Astyanax mexicanus: one gene and its partners. The protein of the gene in region 1 interacts with the protein of each later gene in a biochemical or structural test. Links are inferred from orthologs where the notes say so. Each region holds a gene or a part of one and is shown on either strand. Other genes may lie near its edges. The genes, in order: hspg2, fibulin-2 and kdr.

Region 1 (6,967 bases):
TACCTGTCTATCTACCTCTCTCTCTACCTGTCTACCTCTCTATCCTGCGGCGCGAGCGCTCAGAAAGAGAAGAGAAAGTCCGCAGGCCACGCCCACACACCCCTGTTATGCTGCGCACCTGTTCTCCAGAATTAGCATACCGTGCTCTCATTGGTTAGACTGTGCTTGAAAATGGGTGTGGCGTTTGTCACAGGTGTGTATATTATGTGATGGCATGGCTCCTCTTGTGAAAAGGAAGTATATTTAAGTATATAAACTTAAACTTAAAAGTATGTTCTGTTTTTTTCTGTATTTTTCTGTTTAATATACTTGATAAAAATACACATTAAAATATGATTTTACAAGGAGGTTACCAGAATGTGTATAAAGGTTAAATAAAAACATTCTAGGAACATTTAGAAAACTTGACAGAACATTTTAAGAACGTTAATTGTAAAAAAAATATCAAAAGTACTGTTTCAATTGAATATACTTTATGAAAATATTACACATTATATATACCTAAAACTTACATTTGAAGATTAATTGTAAGATTCAGAAAATGTTCTACTAACTAAATATTGTTAGTTGCATAGATAGATGCATATTGATCCACACCTTAATGCTGCTTTAAATAAAAATACATTAAATGCACTTTAAGCAGCCTTTAATTTACGTTTTATTTAAATGTAAATACAGAGAGTATAAAAGTATATTTAGTGTATATTTTCATAAATTATATTAAATAGAAAATGTACTTTTAGTATTCTTTACCTACTTTAAACATATATTTAATGCTCTTAAGTATATTTCCTTTTCAATAGGGTGCACCTGATGTAAATATATCTCTTTACTAGTTTTTCTCAGCATTCGTGATCATTTCTGAGTGTGAGAAGCTGCTGTGTCTCCTGTCTCAGTTTGTTTTCACTGTAAACACACAGCGGTTAGACTTGTTAAAGACTGGAAGAACGAGCTGCAGTTCAGACTCATCATTACTGAAGCAGCACATTTTACAGAGTTCCTTCCTGGAGGTTGGAGGCCTGTTCTCCTCCTCCTTCCTCTAAAATAAACTCTGCAGAACCAGATTTACCTGTGGAGCCATCCTTCCTCACACAGACTGCTTCAGTGTTTTATTGCTTAGAGCCTATAAAACAATACAGTCATCAAACAAGCTGCATATTTGTTCAACATATATATATATATATATATATATATATATATATATATATATATATATATATATATATATATATATATATATATATATATGTTCCAAAGCCTAAGCTGCATTCGAGGCAGGGCGGTTCCTCTGTAGGACTGTCCAATGAAAACCTTCCATTGGAAAACCTGTGTGCTTTTTCATTTCTTTACAGAAATAATTAATAAATAATTTAAAAACATTTTAAAACAAATCTACACCAGGGTCTTTGTTTCCTTGTTAATTTCCACCAATTACCTTGTTGCCGTTTTAACTTTTTCCTCATTGCGTCGGACATGCGCATTGAATTGTGGGTAACTGTGGGCCAGGAAGGATACATCGGCTGCATCTATTAAATCACAATGAACGTCGATAGTATCTAAAAATAATGACTTAGTATCTAAAAATAATAAATTAGCATCTCAAAATACTAAGATAGTATCTCAAAATAATGAGATAGTATTTAAAAAAATGTCTTGGTATCTCAAAATAATGAGAGAGTATCTTAAAATAATGACATTCTATCTCACAATAATATAACAATATCCTAAAATAGTGAGATAGTATCTCAAAATAATGATTTGCTATCTTTAAATAATAAATTAGTATCTCACAATAATGAATTAGTATCTTAAAATAATAAATTAGTATCTCAAAATAATGACTTACAATCTTAAAATAATTTCTTACAATCGTAAAATAATAAGATAGTATCTTAAAAATAATGACTTACAATTTTAAAATAATGAGAAGATAAAAGAAAAATGGGCTGGATTAGTTTTTATTGAATTTCAGGTGGTGGGAATAGGCTTTCATAATATGCATTAAATCTAAATAAATGATATGAAAAAAATGTATTTATTTTCCCTTAGTAGCTCGAATTCTTAAATGGTTTCCAGTGCAGTGGGCGTGGCTAATATGCTGTTTGATTTGCCGATAAATGTTTATTCTGATGGAAAACAGGTCTCGATCTGCATTAAGTGCAAAAATACACAAGAAAGAGGAAAATACATATAATGTCTATTTTAAGGGACGCGGGATCTGAAAGGGTTAAGCTGTGGCTGTGCTGTAATGCGGGTAAATATCAGCAGGGGGCGCCACATTTCAACAAACTTGTAAAAGCAAGGCCTCGATCTCACTACTGAAACTCAGAGTCTGAATGATTCAGTATGTTCTATAAATCATATAAATACCAATCATTATCATTAAGTGAATCACTTTTAATAAACGTTATAAATAAATATTAAATGGTGCCAATCATTAATCGCAATTTTTGTTGTAACATTTTTTGTGTGTGTTTTTAGCTTGTCAGGTGTTGAAAAAAAAGCTTATCATTTTAGGCTTTAAAGGTCAACCCATACATTTTTTTATTTAAAAAATTAAAAAATATCTAATTCAAAACAATCAAGAAGCTTCAATCAAGAAGCATTAATTATTTGACAGGGATTGAGTACACCATTATCCAATCAAATATTATTTCAATCAAATATTCGTATTTCTAAAAATATGAAGCAAGATAGATTTGAATGTTGGGTTCTGATTTTTATTTTATTTTAAAATTGTACGTTGTATTGTCAGATTATTTTTTAAGAGTAAATTTCACCACCTCACAAGTCAAAACCCCCCAAAACAGATGCACTTTTCTGTTAACAAAATCACACCATTAAATATTGCAAGTCTATGAAACGTCAGTTTAAAATATCTATAAACAAGCAGATATAGAATATTAAAAATGGAGAAATTAATGAAAAGCTCTGTCTCTGGGTTTAGGGTTCAGGTTCAGAGCTGTAATGCTGGTAAAGCAACTCACAGACAGACAGACAGACAGGTCTATCATTCAGCTCGACATTTTTAGCAAACTTGCGGAGCATTTATAACCAAACAGATAATATTTTTTTCATCCTCTTTAACTCTTTAAAATATTTCAATTAACACACATAATAAAATTGTGCTATAATCACAAGCAATAACACACTTGTGGTTTGTGCTATAATGTGTAATATTGGCACAGCTATGCTGCTCTACAACCGCATGTAACAGAACAAACCACGAGTGTATTATTGCTTAATTATGTTTATTGTTTTTATATTTCAGTTTTAGTTACAGGCTAAACTTGCTGGCACCTTTTCCACAAAACGTTACTAAAGCGTTCTTATAATGTTCTCTATTAGCTGAGTAACTGAGGGTTTCTTTATTATGTTTAATATTTGTTATGATTATTGTGTTATTATGTTTCTTTATTTTTTTTAAATATATATTATTATATTATATTATTGTATGTACATTTTCTATGCTATAAAAGTATGTACTTTTTCATGTTTAGTAAACTTGAACGCATTTTTCTTTTCTTTTACTTTTGTTAGCTAAGTAACTGTTTGGTTTGGTGAGAGTTTTTTTATTATGTTTATTTTTACTATGTCTATTGTGTTATTATGTTTCTTTATGTTTTGTGTATATTATTATATTATATTATACTACATTATATTATTGTATGTACATTGTTTATGTTTAGTATACTTAAAATGCACTTTTACAGACTAATCTGCCTGGAAAGTTTTCAACAAAACGTTGCTAAACGTTCTTATAACGTTTTTTGTTTGCTAAGTAACGTTTTTTTTTAAATAGTTGAGTTTCTCTCTCTCTCTTTCTCTCTCCCTGACTCCAGACTCCAGTCCGGGTTTTCCTCCAGTCCCGGATCAGGGGGGGAGTCCCGATCCCACCCCAGCACCTCCAGCACCTCCAGCGTCCGGCCAGTCCTCCCAGTCCTCCCAGTGCTGCAGAACCTCCATACAGAGCTCATAGACCAGCAGCCCGGGCACGCGCTCGCTTTTACACAAGTTTTCGTGCAGCGCGTGCTGAGCAACACCTGCACGGATACTCCTTTAATTCGGTAAATGAGGTCCCGCCGCGCGTGGGACCGGGACACGCACTCCGCAAACTTCTGCCGAGCGCTTTTATTCTCCCCGGAGTTCGGGCTCCGCGCGCGGATCGGTACCGGAGCTGGGCGGACAGGAGAAAACATGGGCTCGAGGATAGGTGTCCGGAAAGTCTCAGGACTGCTCTTCTGGCTTTTAGTGAGCTCCTATATAGTTCAGGTAAGAAAGCAAAGCAAGCTTAAAACTTCTAACTTTTACTTCTAGTTCTACTTCTACTTTTATTTCTAAGTTACTTATATTCTACTTGTAGTCCATCTTCTATTTCTAGTCCAAGTTCTACTTTTAATCCTACTTCTTCTCCTTGTCCTACTTCTATACTACTTATTGTACTACTTCTATTCTACTTTCTCCTGCAACTTTCACATCAGCCTATTTATTCCATTAGCATGAGTTGGCTTTGCATTGTTGTTGTGCATAGAAAAAACAAAGACTTTAAGACTATCCATGACACGACTTTGCACAACTAAACTTGTTAGGTTAGCTACCAATTGCACTTTTCACTTTTCCTTATGTCTATCTAGTGCATGAGCTTCCCCCCAAAATAACTTTTTCTTTCTAAGTAAAGTTAGAAATGTATGTGCTATTCTGAAGTGAAAGTGGTGGTTAAGCCACACTGATTGAGTCTTACTACAACTTTTGCACAGATTTGATAGTAAAGCACTCAAAATCCAACTTTCACACAGTCCAGAAGACACACAAGCCTCCTCCACTTTCTTCCCAACAGTATCTGAGTGTACTCTGGTCTAATTTTGTCCACAGAAACAAGCTATTCATAGTCATAGTCTTGTTGGCGTCTCTTTGCCTGCAAAACTTTGCCTGATCAACTTTGGTTTCAAGTAGTATTGAGGTGTTAAACACCTGCAGAGGTGGCTGGAGCTCAACTTTAAGGAGCTACTAATGTTTAACAGAAAATTAAAGGGGTCTAAGATTGACCCTTGATACACACCACACACCACAATGACTGTATGCTATTCTCATAGTTTGATTTATTGCTAATTTTCTTGGGTATTAATGGTAGTATTTGTTGGTACAGTGTCTATTCATATACCTTTCATATTTAGTTTCTATGTTTTATGCATTGTTGACTGAAAGACAATATCCACTTTGGTTAAAACTCCTTCTATTTTTTTAAGAGATACTAATGTTAAATAGAAATTCAAAGGGGCCTCAGATTGACCCTTGATACACACCACATCGTTTTGTGTAGCTTTTAATGACTGTGTGGTCTTCTTATGTTGTAACTTATTAGCCTACTACTTTTCTTAAGTAACAGTCAATTGTCAACAGTCAATAGAAACTCAAAGGGGCCTGAGGTTGACCCTTGCTGCACGCCACATTACTTTGTTTAATGACTGTATAGTGTTCATATTGTGTGACTTATTACTAATTCTAATGGATAATAATGGAAGTTACTTTAACATATCAGTGAACAGGTCAGTGGACTGTATGAATTTGTTGGTAGAATGTAGGTAATCATAAAACCTCCTTTATTTTAAGGATTATTGGCTGCTTAACTTGTTCAGCTTTAGTTTTCAGCAATATTGAGATATTGAGGCTAAAAACCTTCAGAGGTTGTTGGTGCTTATTTTAAATTACCTACAACTTATATGATACAGTAGTTTCACATGTATTGATCTGTTTTTGTCATTAATACAGAAGTAAAATCAGTATCCCTGATGAAACAGCTTCCTCAGTTTTACTATTGTTTCAGAGACCACCAGAGCTCACACAATGGCATTGTAATTGGATTATCCGGAACCAAGGGCATCTGTTTTCCACATTACAAGACGGCTTTACTACTTTCCAGACAGCTCTTTTGATTCAATTGAGTTTTGGGGCGCTGGTTGCTCCCGGCAGTGCTGGTTTCCAGTAGGAATTTCAGGTCAAAGAGTATCAATCAGCCCCAACAAAACCCCAATAAAAACACTTTATGACCTTTTAGTTTACTGCCACAGTCAAGTGGCCCGACCCTCTGTGAACAATCAGTAGCCTGATAATTACCACTGTGTTCTTTACCATCTGTCACTTAAAGCCGTCAGTGATGGTTTAATTTCTGAATGTAAGTTTTGAGTGAATTTACTTTAATAGCCTAAAGCATTTAACAGTTTTAAGAGCAGTTTCACACAAAGGCGTTTAAATTATGCTGTTAGAATTTGCCTGTGTTGCAGTCTGTAGACTGTGTTGGAATCAGAAGTCTGTGTTGGAGCCTGTGTTGAAATCTGTGTGTTGGAGTCTGTAGCCTGTGTGTTGGAGTCTGTAGCCTGTGTGTTGGAGTCTGTAGCCTGTGTGTTGGAGTCTGTAGCCTGTGTGTCGGACCCTGTAGCCTGTGTTGGAATCTGAAGTCAGTGTGTCATAGCCTTTGTGTCAGAGCCTATGTGTTGGAGTCTGTAGAGTGTGTTGGAGTCTGGAGACTGTGTTGGAGCCTTTGTTAAAGTCTTTGTGTTGGACTCTGGAGTGTGTTGGCCCCTGTGTGTTTGAGCCTGTGTTTGACCCTGTGTTGGACCCTGTAGACTGTGTGTTGGAGCCCGTGTGATGAAGTCTAGAGTCTGATTTGGAATCTAGAGCCTGTGTCGGAGAGCCTGTGTCGGAGAGCCTGTGTCGGAGAGCCTGTGTCGGAGAGCCTGTGTCGGAGAGCCTGTGTCGGAGAGCCTGTGTCGGAGAGCCTGTGTCGGAGAGCCTGTGATCACTATTGTGACCATCAGTGTCTATTTTAGTTAGCTCTCTCTTCACATAGAGCTCCGCAAGTGTTCTCTGACTTCATCTGATGGTATGCTGCTGGGGATCGCATGGCCTGGATTCCTGCGGCCATATACAGCTCACTGCCGGGATGTTGTGACAAACAATTTTCTATTTT
Region 2 (7,011 bases), about 45 Mb from region 1:
ATTTGTCTCTAATAGATATATAATGGGAAATAAGAACAGTGTGAATTTTTCTTTTAATAAAAACAGCGAAAGTAGTACCCTGATGTGATAATGTGGGGTGTGATAATCAGGGGTGGGTGATATGGCACCATATTTCAGGGTTTAATATCGTTTACGATATTAAAAAATTGGCAATATTATCGTGTACAATATAATATGGCACACCTCTAGTTATGGTTATGATCTCAAAGTCTGGGTTATGATTTGAAAGGCTGGGATATGATCCCTTAGTTTCTCAGGGGGACGTCTGTAAAAAATATTTCAAACTTCTACTCAGTGATAAAACTCCTGCATCCAGACTGCAGTTGAAAAAACAGGAGGACCAGTGAGTTCAGTAGCTCCTCCATTTCCACTCGCTGTTGTGTTTTTATGTAGATCTCCAAGGAAACGTGCACCCAATAATAACGGTGTGCGGCAGTGGACAAATAGCTATTTTATTCAACACGAGGAGACGAAACTCAGAGATATGCATCCGGACGATACTAAAAGTACTGGAGTTCAGCGAAAAACAGTAGATAAATCAGCCTGTCATTTTTTTTTAGAGAACATAATCTCAGAGACACGCACATGGTCGTTCTGGACAGGAATAAAATCACAGAGGATAAAAAAAACCCGTAAAAAAGAAAATTACCCCAGAACCCCCTGAGAAAATAATTCTGTCCAAATAGGGCTAAAGTCTGGGATATGATCTTAAAGTCTGGGTCATAATCTAAAGGTCTTCAATATTCTAGCTGGAGCATCTGTGACTAAGACAGCAAGTCTTTGTGATGCATCAAGAGCCACGGTATCCAGGGTAATGTCAGCATACCACCAAGAAGCACCAACCACATCCAACAGGATTAACTGTGGACGCTGTAAGAGGAAGCTGTCTGAAAGGGATGTTCGGGTGCTAACCCGGATTGAATCCAAAAAACATAAAACCACGTCTGATCAAATCACGGCAGAATTCAATGTGCACCTCAACTCTCCTGTTTCCACCAGAACTGTCCGTCACCACAATAAATTATTGTGCTCTAAAACCAGGTGTTTCAGTTTCATTGTAGTATATTTCACAACAAATGGAACATGTTTTAAAAATATATATATTTTTTTGTTTGTGCAGACGTTGTGAAACAATGGTGCTCACCGGTTGGTTAGAGAGTGGCGTTAATCCTGAGAAATGTGGAGAGGTCAGCGAGACGTCGGCCCCCTGCAGGGCCATTAGGTGGATTATGAGGAGGCGGGGAGCGAGGCGCAGGGTCGCAGCAGTAATACTGGCAGAAGTCACGATTAGGCCACGCATGAATGAGAAATAACAACAGAGCTGAGGGCAATTACCTTCTCCCGGGCAGAGCGCGTCAGATCGCATTACTTGCGTCCAGACGTTTCTGCACAGGCAGAGACTGACCGGCCCTGAGGACCCGCGGACCAGCCGGTCACCCAATACCCCGTCCAGATACTATCTGATCTTCATCTGCAGGACCTGCTGTGGGCTTCAGGACTGTGTCTGCACAGCACACTTCCTCTTCCTCTGAGAGAGAGAGCACTATAAACCAGCAGAACTAAAGAGGATAAATTCACCAAATCCGATTAGACTTTCTCTCTGTTTACATATTCAGAGTTCATTCAGACAGAAACAACAGAAATACTCTAAATACACCTGTGATTAACCCAACTACTGAACTGAGAAAACTCTACACCTGATATTTTAATATTCATTCATAAGCAGTAAACACACAGGACAGGACTAATTTCAGAACATGTGCTTATTATACTGTATCTATTGTTTAATAAAAAGTGAACTTTCAAGAACATTTGGGAAAACTTTGGAAGAACTTTTAGAGAACTTTTAAAGAACTTTAAAGGACATTGGAAGAACTTAGGGAGAATTTGGGAGAACTTTGGGAGTTCTTTTAAAGAACTTTAAAGAGCATTGGGAGAATTTGGGAGAATGTTTAAAGAGCATTGGAAGAACTTTGGGAGAATTTGGGAGAATGTTTAAAGAACATTGGAAGAACTTTGGGAGATCTTTTAAGGAACTTTAAAGAGCATTGGAAGAACATTGGGAGAATTTGGGAGAATGTTTAAAGAACATTGGAAGAACTTTGGGAGATCTTTTACAGAACTTTAAAGAGCATTGGAAGAACTTTGGGAGCACTTGGAAGAACTTGTAGAGAACTTTAAAAAACACTGAGACTTTTTTAGAGAACTTTGGGAGAACTTTTATCTAGATAACTTTGAAGAACATTGGGAGAACTTTTAGGGAAATTTGGGAAAACTAAGAGAACTTTAAAAAACACTGAGATAACTTTTTTAGAGAACATTGGGAGAACTTTTATCTAGATAACTTTGAAGTACATTGGGAGAACTTTTAGAGAATCTGGGAGAACTTTTAGAGATTTTGGGAGAACTTTTAAAGAACTTTGAAGAACATTCAGATTTTGGGAGAAATTTTAGAGAGCTATCAAGAACATTGGGAGAACTTTCAGAGAACCTCTGGAGAATTTGTGAGAACTTTGAGAGAACTTTGAAGGACACTGGGAGAACTTTCAGGGAAATGTAGGCGAACTTTTAGCTAGAGAACCTTTGTAGAACTTTTAAGAACATTAGGAGATTTTTGGGAGACGTTGGGAGAACTTTTAGAGTACTTTGAAGAACTATGCTGAGGTGTTGGTCCTCTCATCTATTATTTAATACACTCTAAAAGGTGATTTTTTTTATGTTTGGCCACCTTAACTAATATCATCATGTGGAGTAAACTTTCCAAACTGTACAACCCAACAATAGAATAAGTTCAAAGAACTTTAACCCAAAAACATGTGTATACATAGTTAATACACTGTGTATATATTGTAAATTAATAAAAAAGAATTTGGGAGAACTTTTGGAGAACTATTAGAGAACTTTGGGAGAATTGTAAAAGAATTGGAAGAACTTTTAGAGAACATTTGAGACAACTAAGAGATTTTGGGAGAATATTTAGAGAACTTTAAGAGAACTTTGGGAGAATTTTAAGAGAATTTGGGAGAACTTTTAGGGAACTTTGGGAGAACTTTTAGAGAACATTTGGGACAACTAAGCGAATTTGGAAGAATATTTAGAGAACTTTAAAGAACATTGGGAGAATTTTAAGAGAACTTTAGGAGAACTGTAGTTGTAGATCATTGCTAATTGATTGTGCTGAGGTATAGGCCCTGTTTCTTATTCTTTCTCAATTTCTTTCTTCCTTTATGTCTCTTTTTCTCTCTCTGATATTTTAATAGTCATTCATAAGCAATAACACACAAGACATTTCTTTCAGAACATTTATTTATTATACTGTATCTATTATTTAATACACTCGAAACACTGAACTTTAAAGAACATTTGGGAGAACTTTTAGAGAACTTTTTGGGAGTTGCTCCCTTTGCTGACACAGATATGCAAATGCACACAAACACCGTGTCTAGTCTCTGTAGAGACATATCGCCAAAAGAATAGGACTCCCTGGAGCAGATCAACCTTAAGGACCCTATTGGCACCATGCCTACTGCCAGATATGGGCTAGATAGAGGGGTATAAATAAAGCCCCCCAGCATCGCCCAATACTTCTTATTGAGTTCTTATAGAGAAATGAGTGAATGAAGCACGCGCCCCTCCCACATAAAACATAACACAGCGTGAATATTTCCCCCACCTGTTTTCATAACAAGTTCTCTGATTGGCTAGTAATCTCCCTCCTTACCACTGCTGTGCTAGGATTGGTCAGTTGGGTTCACCCTGCAGTGCTGTGATTGGTTGCTACTATGTATCCTCTATCTGCCCACCCACTTTCCAACTAATAACCAATCCGAGCGCAGTGGGCGTGGCTTTCCGGAATACCGGTGTGAAACAGCGCTGAGCTCCGGGTTTGAAAGAGAAGCGCAGCGCTGCGCTCAGAGAGAGAAGACCACCCGAACGGAGCCCACCACCACCACCACCAGGACCACCACCACCACCAGTAGCTCCACCACTGCGGGCAGGTAGGCTCTTCTGCTGCTTTTTCTGCAGGAATCACAGCAGTTAGAGAAGTACACTGAGCTGTTCTTTGGGTTCAGAATGGAAGGAGAACTTTAGGAGATCGGTGTTGATGGATTATGCTGAGATATAATCACCGCAAACTCTCTCTCTCTCATTCTATGCCTATAACTCTCTCTCTCTCTTAGTTGATGCATCTTTCTCTTTTTCTCTCATTCATCTCTTTGGAATGCTGTGAGAACATTATGAGAACTTTAGGATAACTTTAGAAAAAGACTGAGTGGGAGATGTTTAGATCTTTGTTTGAACTATGAAGAACCATTAGGAGAATTGAGATAATTTTGAATAACATTTGGGAAAATGTTGGGAGAACTCTGTAAGAACATTATGAGGATTTTAGGAAAACTTTGGAAAAGACGGAGTGGGAATTTTTAGGACATCTTTATTAAAACTTTGAAAAACATAGAGAACTTTGGAAGAACTCTGTGAGAACATTATGAGGACTTCAGGAGAACTTTAGGAAAGACTGAATTGGAGATTTTTGGGAGATCTTTACTAAAACTTTACTAAGAACTATTAGGAGCATTAGGGGATTTAGAGAACTTTGAAGAACATTTTGGAAATTAGGAGATCTATGGGAGATTGTTGGGAGAAGTCTGTAAGAACATTTTAAGGACTTTAGGAGAACTTTGGAAAAGACTGAGTGGGAGATTTTTAGAAGGTCTTTGCTAGAACTTTAAGGAACATTTGGCAGAACTTTGATAGAATTTGGGAGAACTTTCAAGAACAATTGGGAGAACTTTGGGAGAATGTTGGGGGAACACTGTGAGAACATTATGAGGTACTGAGGTACAGACCCTCTCACTGTCTCATATTCTCTCACTCTCTCCCTTTCTCTCTTTCTCCCTCTCTCTCTCTCTCCATTCATTGCTCATCTCTCTTTCACTCTCTCACTCTGTCATCTTTCTCTCTCTCTCTTTCCCTCTCACTCTGTCCATTTTTCTACTCTCTTCGTCTTCCTCTCTCACTCTGTCTAACTGTTCATTTTTTTTCTACTTTATTCATCTTTCTTTCTCTCTCTTTCTCTCCCACTCTGTCCATTTCTCTCTCTCTTCGTCTTTCTCTCTCACTCTGTACATTCAATTCTCTCTCTCTCTCGCTCTCTCTTTATCTCTCACTCTGTCCATTTCTCTCTTTCTTCCATTCTCTTTGTTTTTCTCTCTCACTGTTCATTTCTCTATCTTTCTCTGTCTTTCTCTCTATTTTATTTTTCTTCTTTCCACTCTTTTAAGATTTAAGATGTGTAGCTTTATTGAGGTGGCTCTTATGAGCATAATATTACCGAAGTTTTACAAAAACAGTGACAATTAAAGCAACTTCGTGTGTAATTCTTTCTGAATGTATGTTTCAGTCTTTGTCAGCTAGTTTCTCTTTGTGTTTCTTTCTCTCTTCGTATCACCCTCTGTCTGCATCTCTTCCACACTTTCTCTCCTCTGAATCACACACTCCAAAAACACACTCCACCAGACAGTACACATAATGCACTATATTTCCTACACCCAACATGCACTATATGTCCAAAAGTATTTGAACAGCTGCTCATTCATTGGTTCTGCTCAACATTAATATCATATGCTTCTGTTAAAGTAACTGTCTCTAGTGTTCTGAGAAGAGTTTCTACTAGGTTTTTCGAGAATTGCTGTGAGGATTTGATTGCATTTAGCGACAAGATAAACAATAGTGAGGTCAGGATGTTCGGTGATAACTAGTGCTGCACGATACTGGAAAGAATTTACATTGCGGTGATATATATCGCAATATTAAACATTGCAGGGCCCATGCCATCACCAGCCCCGCCCCCACCCAAGCGCCGTCTCGCGTCCGGACCAATCAAGAGCTGAGTCGGCACAGGGCTCAACTCAAAACCCGAGGAAAACAGCAAAACAACAGAAATCGGCCCTTTAATCAGGCATTTAAATGCCCTTTTAAAAGGTAAATAAGAGCATTTGTTTTTCTGGGATTAAAACGTAAATTCAGCTGTAAATGGAAATATCTGTGCTGCAAAACTGTGCTGGACTGAGCTGCACAGCTTTGAACATGTGCTCACATTTACAAGCACGTGCCCAACCATGTGGATGGAGGCCATGCGGTTACATCGCGCTCCCCCTCCCCCTCGCGCTTCTCAGGCAGCAGCAGCCTGTCACTCACACAGACACAGAGACAGCACTGTGTATCTATTTCTTGTGTCATGAATCAAAACATGACGCAACATGACATGTTTAATTGAATTGCCTTAAGTGACATTGTACGTCCTGCGATGTGATTATTGCAGAGAACACAGGGTGTCCTATTCTATTGGCACTACTTTTCTACAGGGACTACACAAGCTGTGTTGTGCATTTGCACATCAAGGGTCAGCAACGGATGCACATTAAAGCAGCTGACTGTATTCATTAGAAGTGCTGTCTACAAACATTATAGGAGGTGTTTTTGCAGTATGTAGTGCTGATGAGTTAATATCAGAGGGCCTGTAGAAACGCTGCTTGTATAAATATATGAGTTGTAGATTTCTGAGCTGCTTTTCTTTTCAGTGGCATGCTTTAGTTTGGCTGCTCCTCTGACGTCTGATTTATTAAGAGTCCGGGAGGCATTTTTCCCTGATTTAGTCTCAGCAATTCTTCTGTGTGTGTTTATAGTGGACGTCAATCTGAGCAAAACCTCAGATCTCAGAAAAACAAAAGATCTGAGAGAGAGCTTTTACTGCACACATACACTTTCTGGCCACTTTATTAGAAACACACAATAGAACCATACAAAAGAAAAAAGAACCAACATTCGGTTTAAGCTAAATAACTCAATCTTTGCAATGTGTGTCTGTGTGAGCCACACTAAACATGAAGAACAGAAAGAGGTGAAGAGAACTGTTCAGGACTGTTCATGGGTCTTGCAACAGGACAATGACCCTAAACAAAGAGCTGGAGAGTTCTGAAGTGTCCA
Region 3 (7,841 bases), on another chromosome or scaffold:
GCCCAGTAGCTTTTGCCAGTCGCAAGCTTAGCTGTTCTGAAAAAAAATATCCGGTTCATCAGCTTGAGTTCCTAGCTCTGAAGTGGGCCATAGTTGACAAATTCCATGATTATCTATATGGGGTACACTTTACTGTGAGAACTGACAACAATCCACTCACATATGTTTTAACTACGGCTAAGTTGAATGCCACTGGGCAACGATGGCTTGCTGCCCTCTCCACATATGATTTTGGCATCCAGTATAGGCCTGGACGGGAGAATATTGATGCAGATCTTTTGTCTCGAAATGCCACCGATGATGTGGGGTGGATCTCCCCAGCCGCAGTAAAAGCTTCCTGTAAGAAGGTGAATGTTTCTGTTGACATGCCTAGCAGGTATGTAGAGCAGTTAGGAGCCTCACCTAATGCTATTCCAGAATTATATGCCTATCCCACTAGACTGGGTGTTAGTTCACTGGAGCAACTGAGTGGAGAGGACTTGAGGAGAGCACAAGAGGCTGATGCAGTCATCAGTAGGGTCCGGAATGCTGTAGATGGAGGTCTGTGGCCCCTGGGTTTCCAGAGTGACATGCCAGACATGCCCTTATTCAAACGTGAGTTCCAGAAGCTTGTGCTAAAAAATAGACTCCTGTACCGGCGAACCAACAGAGGAGGGCATGACATTTTCCAGTTAGTACTTCCCAAAGTTTACAGGGATACAGTTCTACGCTCTCTACATGATGACTTTGGCCATTTAGGAGTTGAAAGGACTACTGAATTAGTCAGAGACCGGTTTTATTGGCCCAGAATGGCATCGGACATAGTTAACTACATTAAAACATGCGGCAGGTGTGTAGCTCAAAAGACTCTGCCCCGCAGAACAGCACCATTAGGTCAGCTCTCTAGTAAAGGCCCGCTTGATTTGGTATGCATAGATTTTTTATCTGTTGAGCCAGATTCTAAAGGTATTGCTAATGTCCTTATAGTGACAGACCATTTCACCAGATACTCACAGGCTTATCCTACTCGGGATCAGAAGGCCCCTACCGTAGCCAAAGTACTGTTAGAAAAGTTCTTTGTCCACTATGGACTGCCGGCCCGTATCCATTCCGACCAAGGGCGTGACTTTGAAAGTCGCCTGATCAAGCAGCTACTTGACCTGCTGGGTATAAAAAAATCCCGGACATCTCCCTATCACCCTCAAGGGGATCCCCAGCCAGAGCGTTTCAACCGCACACTGCTGTCCATGCTGGGCACCCTGGATCCAAAATTGAAGCACAGATGGAGTCAACATGTTGCACTTATGGTGCATGCTTATAATTCCACCCGTAATGATGCTACGGGGTACTCTCCCTATTATTTAATGTTTGGTAGGGAAGCACGTTTACCTATAGATGTATGCTTTGGCACTGCTTTGGGAGGGCAAGAGGAAGCCAAGCATGAGATGTACGTGAAAAAGCTGCGTGAAGAGCTGCGTCGAGCATACCAACTGGCTGTTGAGTGTTCTAACAAGAGCCATGACAAAAACAAAAAGGCTTATGATGCCAAAGTACACAACCTTCCTATAGAGGTGGGGGACAGGGTTCTGGTCCGTGCTTTAGGGAGTACTGGGAAACAAAAGTTGAAAGATAAGTGGAATTCTGTGCCTTATACAGTGGTAGAAAAAATGCCTAACATACCTGTGTACAGAGTCAAACCTGAGAGAGGAGTAGGGGTGCCCCGAACACTTCACAGAGACCACCTTTTACCCATTGGCTGTCTGATGCGTTTACCAAATGTTTCAGATATAGCAGACTCACATTCAAGCCTTGGGGACCAACAAGCTCGGACACGTCGCCAGCAGCAAACGAGAGTCACGGAGAGCCATTTTGAAACAGAAAATGAGCAGTCTGATTTGGAAGAGGACATGCCTTATGTCAGACCTATTGAGTTCTCTGAACATTTTCCTAGTCCATCCTTACAGCCAGAGGGGCCGAGCCACGATCTTGCAAGTGAGCCTGTCGATGCAGAAGTTGCAGAACAGGAAGAACCCCCTGGGGAGCCAGACATACCTATGTCTGTAGGGGAGGAAAATGCACCCGAATCGCAATTTTGTGATGTTTCTGATACAATGGAGGTCTCAACCAGTGACCAACAGTTGTTGGAGGAACAGGAGACCGAACCAGACATGATGCCCAGTGACCCCTCTTTGGGTAAAAGAGCTGTTAAACCTGTCATTCGTCTGAGCTATGATGAGCTTGGGAGTTCATCTGACCAGCCTCTAGTTATTGTACACCGAGGGATGAGAATATATATCACGCCCCCAGTAGAACCCTCAGTTGTCCCCTGTTTTTCTGTTCGGTTGACTCTCGAATGAAACTGCCTAGTAAAATTTAAAAGTCAGATGAGGACATCAGACGTTTAGAAGGGGGAGGGTGTAGCCCAAATATAATTCAGTTCTATATTTAGTTCCATGCTTCTATGTATCTAACTACTGAAAAAAAAATGTTTTATAGGTGTTGTTGAATGGTACTGAAATATTGTAGCAGTTTGTGTAAGATTTTTAATGTAATAAGAATATATATATTTTTTCTACGTTGAATTATACAGTATTTTGAAAAGTGTTCTTACATCCCAAGCACCTTAGAGGGTTAGGGAGTCCATTTATTGGGTCATCTACCTGCCAATCTTACCTCCTTTTCCATTGATTGGTTGAAGGGGCGGGGAAATGGAGTAGCGGTGTGTGTGTGTAGGGAGAGAGAGGGAGAGAGAGAGGGACGAGGGAAAAAATACAGGAGCTCTGGATGTTTTATGGCGTTTTTGGTGTTTTGTTAAAGTTTGGGTCCAGAGTGACCCATGAGTTAAGTGAGTATGTATTTCTGAAGTGTTTTTCTTTGAGAGAGTTCGCTGTTGAACACTATTAGATGAGTTTTAACTCTGTTTATAGCTTGTAAGTTAGCCTAGCCGGCTAACCGTAACGAGATTTAACTTTAGTGACGAGCCACGCGGAGCTGCGTGTTTTCGCCGCTCAGATAGCGCCACGAGCTACCAGGATAACGCTCGTGGTTCCTCTGGGTGCCTCGTGGGAGCACTTTTACCCCGGATAGCGCCACAGGTCAGCCAGGAAGCACCTGTGGTTCCTCCGGCAACGTGGGAATTCTTCAGTTCAGTCCTGTTCAGGTAGAGGAGAGTGGCCAACTACCCGCTCTGAGTCAAGAATCTGAGTCAAGAATTTGAGTCAAGAATCTGAGTCATGAATCTGAGTCAATTCGTCAAGAGTGACTGTGAGTAAACATCTCCGTTCAGAAACAGTATCAGGCCTGCAACGTTTTTTTTATTTTATTTCTTATTTACTGCCGGCTCTTTGTATTTATTTATAAATGTATTTTTTTTTTCCCCCTCTTTTTGTTAAACAAGTATTACTAAATATGTTAATTGAGTCCACTGCATTGTCTACCTAAGTTGAAGTTATTTAGGTTATAGAAGGTTTAAAAGAAATACATCAGTTCTTTCCCTATATTGGTATTTTCAGATCTAATTACACATTAGTGTGTATAGTTTTATTTATCCCCATTTATACATTTTGTTTTTGTGCATCAATAAACTTCACTGGGAGTACTCATTGCAGCCACATATCTTTAATTACCTGTGACTAGGTCTTTTACTTCTTCAAGACATATTTACAGTTGGTAGCTAAATTTACAGGAGAGGTCTAATTAATGAACTTGGGGCCCTGTCCCTTTGGCCTGGGATGTAGGAGGGGTTACATACAGTATATTAGAAAAAAACGTGATTGAAAGTTGTCTGTTTTGCCATTGAAACCTATGGGGATGGGTGGGGTTACACAGCTTTCTGAAACCGAACAGCAGGGGGCGCCCGACCTGTGGTGGCTTCACTTTTGAGAGACGATGCTCTGTCCAGCTATACACAGTCCAAACACCCTTCAGACTGGGTGACTCGGGTGACCCGATGAATCGCTTTTTCCACTGTTATCCAGCCTCAAAGTAGCTCCACACCTCCTTGACAGAATTCAGAGAACCTTGACATTTAAAATGATGCATTAATAACTTAAAAAGTGCACAAGAAGCTTATTAAAAAACTACTGTTTACATCCTATAATGCTAGCTTCAGCTCCGCATAGCGTAGCATCTGGCGCCAAGAGGCAGGCTATGCGAAGTCTATGTATATTTATGTCTATGTAATTTTTTAGTTCAGTGATGGTGGCGCTCGGAGCTGAAGCTAGTGTTATGGGATGTAAACAGAGTTTTTTATTAAGCTTCTTTTGCACTTTTTCTTGTGGTGAACAATCCATGTGTGAAAATGATGATCTCATGCTCCCTGAACCACTCTTCTACAATTCCAGCCCCATGAATTCTGTTATTGTAATCTTGGAATATATCCTCGTCATCAGGGAAGAACAAATCCATTGATGGAATAACCTGGTCTATATTCAGTATATCCAGGTAGTCAGCTGACCTCATTCTTTCAGCACATACTGTTACTGAACCCAGACCTGAACAACTGCAACAATACCAGATCACCTGCTTGTTTTAGCCAGGCAGTGTATTTGTGCTTTGTGAACAGGAGTCTGTTGTTATTGGTAGTGAGAGTCACTAGTATCACTGTTATGAGTGCAGGTCAGTTCAGGTCTGATATCACTCACTGCTTGATAGGTTTAGGTGCTGGGGTAATTAGTGTTTGATAAGACGCATCCTGACTCCTAGACCTGATCTAAACTCCCCACAGTCCAGTTTATCACACGTTTCCAGGCTCGAGACTGAGGCTGGGTCACCGGCCCCTCCCTCTCCCCCCATCATCTCCCTCCTCACGCGCTCTGTGCTGCTCCCTCAGTGTGTGTGTGGAGCGCGCGGGTCTCCTGCAGTGCGCGGGGCATCGCTGAGTGGATTATCTCCGGGTTCCGCTACAGGACTGTGTGAGAGAGTGTGGACAGCAGTGTGTGTGAGAGAGTGTGTGTGTGAGTGTGGAGCTGTGGGTCCTGATGCGCAGCTGAGAATAGCCGTCCTGTGGGAACTTCTAAGAGGGGTTTGATGCGGGGACAGTCCGGCAGGGTGGTCGCACCATGGCAAAGCCATTTTCACTTCTCTCTCTGGTGGGCATTATTTCTGCAGTCAGCTGGGTGACAGGTAAGACCAATACAGATTTATATTAAAAAATAATAATAATAATTTATTTACCCACCAAAAGCCTAAAATCTAATAAATATAACTGCATATTGTTTTATTATGAAGCAGTGACCCGGATTTGTTTATTATGTCTTTTATGTTGTTGTCATTGGAAAAGACGTAAAAACCCTTCTTAAGTAAAAGTCCATATAAAAAGATCCAAAAAGTAATTTTTAATAATTGTTCCACTCATTATAAATATTTTACTCAAAGTAAAATACACAGCAAAACCAGTAAGTGAATAGATGTAAAAAATCTAAATAAAAAATATATCTAGATTTAAATTAATAAAAAAAACAACACTAATATCTAGATTTAAACAAAATAAAAAAACAAAAGCAACAACATATCTAGATATAAATAAATAAAAAAACAACAACAGAGTTTAAAAAAAAACTCATATGTGTTTGATGTGTGTTTAAATAGATAGAATTATAAATATAATATATAAAAATTATATATATAATTACCAAACAATAAAGTTTTATTTGAAAAGCAAGGAAAAAAACACATAGTCTATGTATTTTATGGTGAGAAAAGTGGCAAAACTAATGAAACCTTAATTAAATTTTGTTCGATATCCTTTCTCTGGTTAAATGTTAATTTTTTTATTATGTTCGAATACATTTAGTGCATCAATTTTTTTTTCAGAAATAAATAAGTGTTTAGTAGCTCTAAATATATCGCACCCACTCTTTCCTGCTTAATTGTAATCAGCTCAGGAAGGGAGGGGTATCAGACTAGTGTCTTAAAATGCTTGAGAACATCAAAATTATGTATAAAAACATACAAAATATTATATATATAAATATATATATATACATTAACATTACATTTGTAGGTTAATATAAAAATATTTAATTGTAGAAAACATAATTTCTTATGACAAGTCATCAAAGAAATAATAAAGATCAAATGCTAGTTCTGACAGACTGCTCATATTAAACGTTTGCCCTTCATCTTTTTTTCTTTCTTTTTTTTTTTTTTTTAAAACTTGTGACCATTTTGCCCAGAACCTGGTGCCATTCCCACACTGGCATTGTTGTTTGAAATGACCTCAGTGAGCAACAATTCTGAGATCAGATCTCAGCACTTCTTAAATCAAATGTTTGAATTAGTGGGGCCCTGTGGGGTGTGCTCATTGTAGCTGTGGGCCGATGTTTGTGTGCGTGTGTGTGCTGTCCCTTGCCCTGGTTCCTCTGGAGCAGGAACCCCACCTCAGGGCTTGGAGCGTGGGGCCATTTAGGCCGGCCCCGGCCCATCTGCCCCAGCTTCCTGTTTTGACACAGTCAGTTCTCTGCACTGCTGCTGTTGCTCCAGTGGAAAAATAGCCCCAGAGCTTAGACTGCACACTCCAGAATTCTCCAAGAGTGCTGGTCCTGGATCAGGTGGACTTCAGGTCTCTAGAAGAATACATGGATGGAAGCTGGTCTTAGATCAGTACTTGTGCTTTGAAATATTTCAGTTGTATGGGCCCAGAATTCTGAACCAGGCCAGTTCAAGCAGTCGGATTCACTACTGCTGTTATCAGCTATAGTCTGTATAGTTTATGGTGTATTTATGCTGCTGATACAAGGAGAAATGTGCATTAATGAGAATTATACAAAGCAAGAGTACTGAAAATAGTAAGGTTTTGGGTTCAGCTCTGCTTACAATACTTTGTATATTTAATTAATATAAAAATATACAAACCCCAAATCGAATTCCTCATGATATAAATACATGTAAAAAAGAACAGAAAATAGTATAGTTCCCAATTGTCGTAAAATGTGTGGGAGCAACACATCTCCAAAAAGTTGGGACAGGGCAACAAAAAGCTGGTCCTAATAAAAACAGCTGCAATAGGAGCAATTCATGACTAACTCCCATGAATGGGTACAAAAAGAGCATTTTAGAGAGTTAAAGACTCTTAGAAGCAAGGATGGGGAGAGGTTCACCAACCTGCAAAAAGATGCATCAACAATTTGTGAAACAATTTTAATGAAAAAGTTCCACAATGTAAAATTAAAGATATTCCTGATTATCCCAACATGTACAGTACATATCATAATTGAAAAATCTGAGAATCTGTGTGTAAGGGACAAGGGAGAGGGATCAGTATTGGATGCTGGTGATCCTAAGGTCCTCAGGTAAAACAGCATTAAAACTGGCATGATTCTCTTCTGAAAATCACTGCATGGGCTCAGGAACACCTCCAGAAACACGGTTCAGCATGCAATATACAAATGCAGGTGGAAACTGTTTGATACAAAGAAGAAGCCACTGACCTCTGACAAAAGCACTGCTGTCTTTTCTGGGTCAAAGCTCATTAAAATTGGCAAACCCGAAAACTGTTCTGTGGTCAGATGAATCAAAATAAGAAAATTTAAATTTGGTGCAGAGAAGCTTCTGGATTGTGTCACATTGTTCTATGTGTTATGAGAAATGTCGGTACAATGGATGTTCAAATTAAAAGATGATGTTACTATGGTAATGAGAAAAGATGACATGAAGCACATTAAGTAAATATCCTTCAAACTATTACCCAGATTGGCGCTACACATTAACTTTGCCAGTGTTTAATTACATTTCAACACTCACAATGTTTGTTTAACAAAATCAGTGTTGATTCAAGACTGGCAAATTTACTGTTTACTCTGTACACTAATAAATTCCTGAATGTTGTGGCTTAGAACATTGAATTAGGTCTGGATGATACT

Evidence for each region.
Region 2: the proteins of hspg2 (region 1) and fibulin-2 form a complex in vitro, tested with the Homo sapiens proteins (2 studies listed by BioGRID). The link is inferred for Astyanax mexicanus from reciprocal best matches to the Homo sapiens genes HSPG2 and FBLN2.
Region 3: the proteins of hspg2 (region 1) and kdr form a complex in vitro, tested with the Homo sapiens proteins (2 studies listed by IntAct). The link is inferred for Astyanax mexicanus from reciprocal best matches to the Homo sapiens genes HSPG2 and KDR.

What each region holds. Positions count from the first base shown.
Region 1 is NC_064420.1:1,885,870-1,892,836, forward strand, and holds the start of hspg2 (basement membrane-specific heparan sulfate proteoglycan core protein), read left to right. Parts: upstream 1-3,914; 5' UTR 3,915-4,071; coding exon 4,072-4,272; intron 4,273-6,967. UniProt on the Homo sapiens protein: Integral component of basement membranes. Component of the glomerular basement membrane (GBM), responsible for the fixed negative electrostatic membrane charge, and which provides a barrier which is both size- and charge-selective.
Region 2 is NC_064420.1:47,016,305-47,023,315, forward strand, and holds the start of fibulin-2, read left to right. Parts: upstream 1-3,924; 5' UTR 3,925-4,019; intron 4,020-7,011. UniProt on the Homo sapiens protein: Its binding to fibronectin and some other ligands is calcium dependent. May act as an adapter that mediates the interaction between FBN1 and ELN.
Region 3 is NC_064408.1:64,162,121-64,169,961, forward strand, and holds the start of kdr (vascular endothelial growth factor receptor 2), read left to right. Parts: upstream 1-4,782; 5' UTR 4,783-5,039; coding exon 5,040-5,103; intron 5,104-7,841. UniProt on the Homo sapiens protein: Tyrosine-protein kinase that acts as a cell-surface receptor for VEGFA, VEGFC and VEGFD. Plays an essential role in the regulation of angiogenesis, vascular development, vascular permeability, and embryonic hematopoiesis.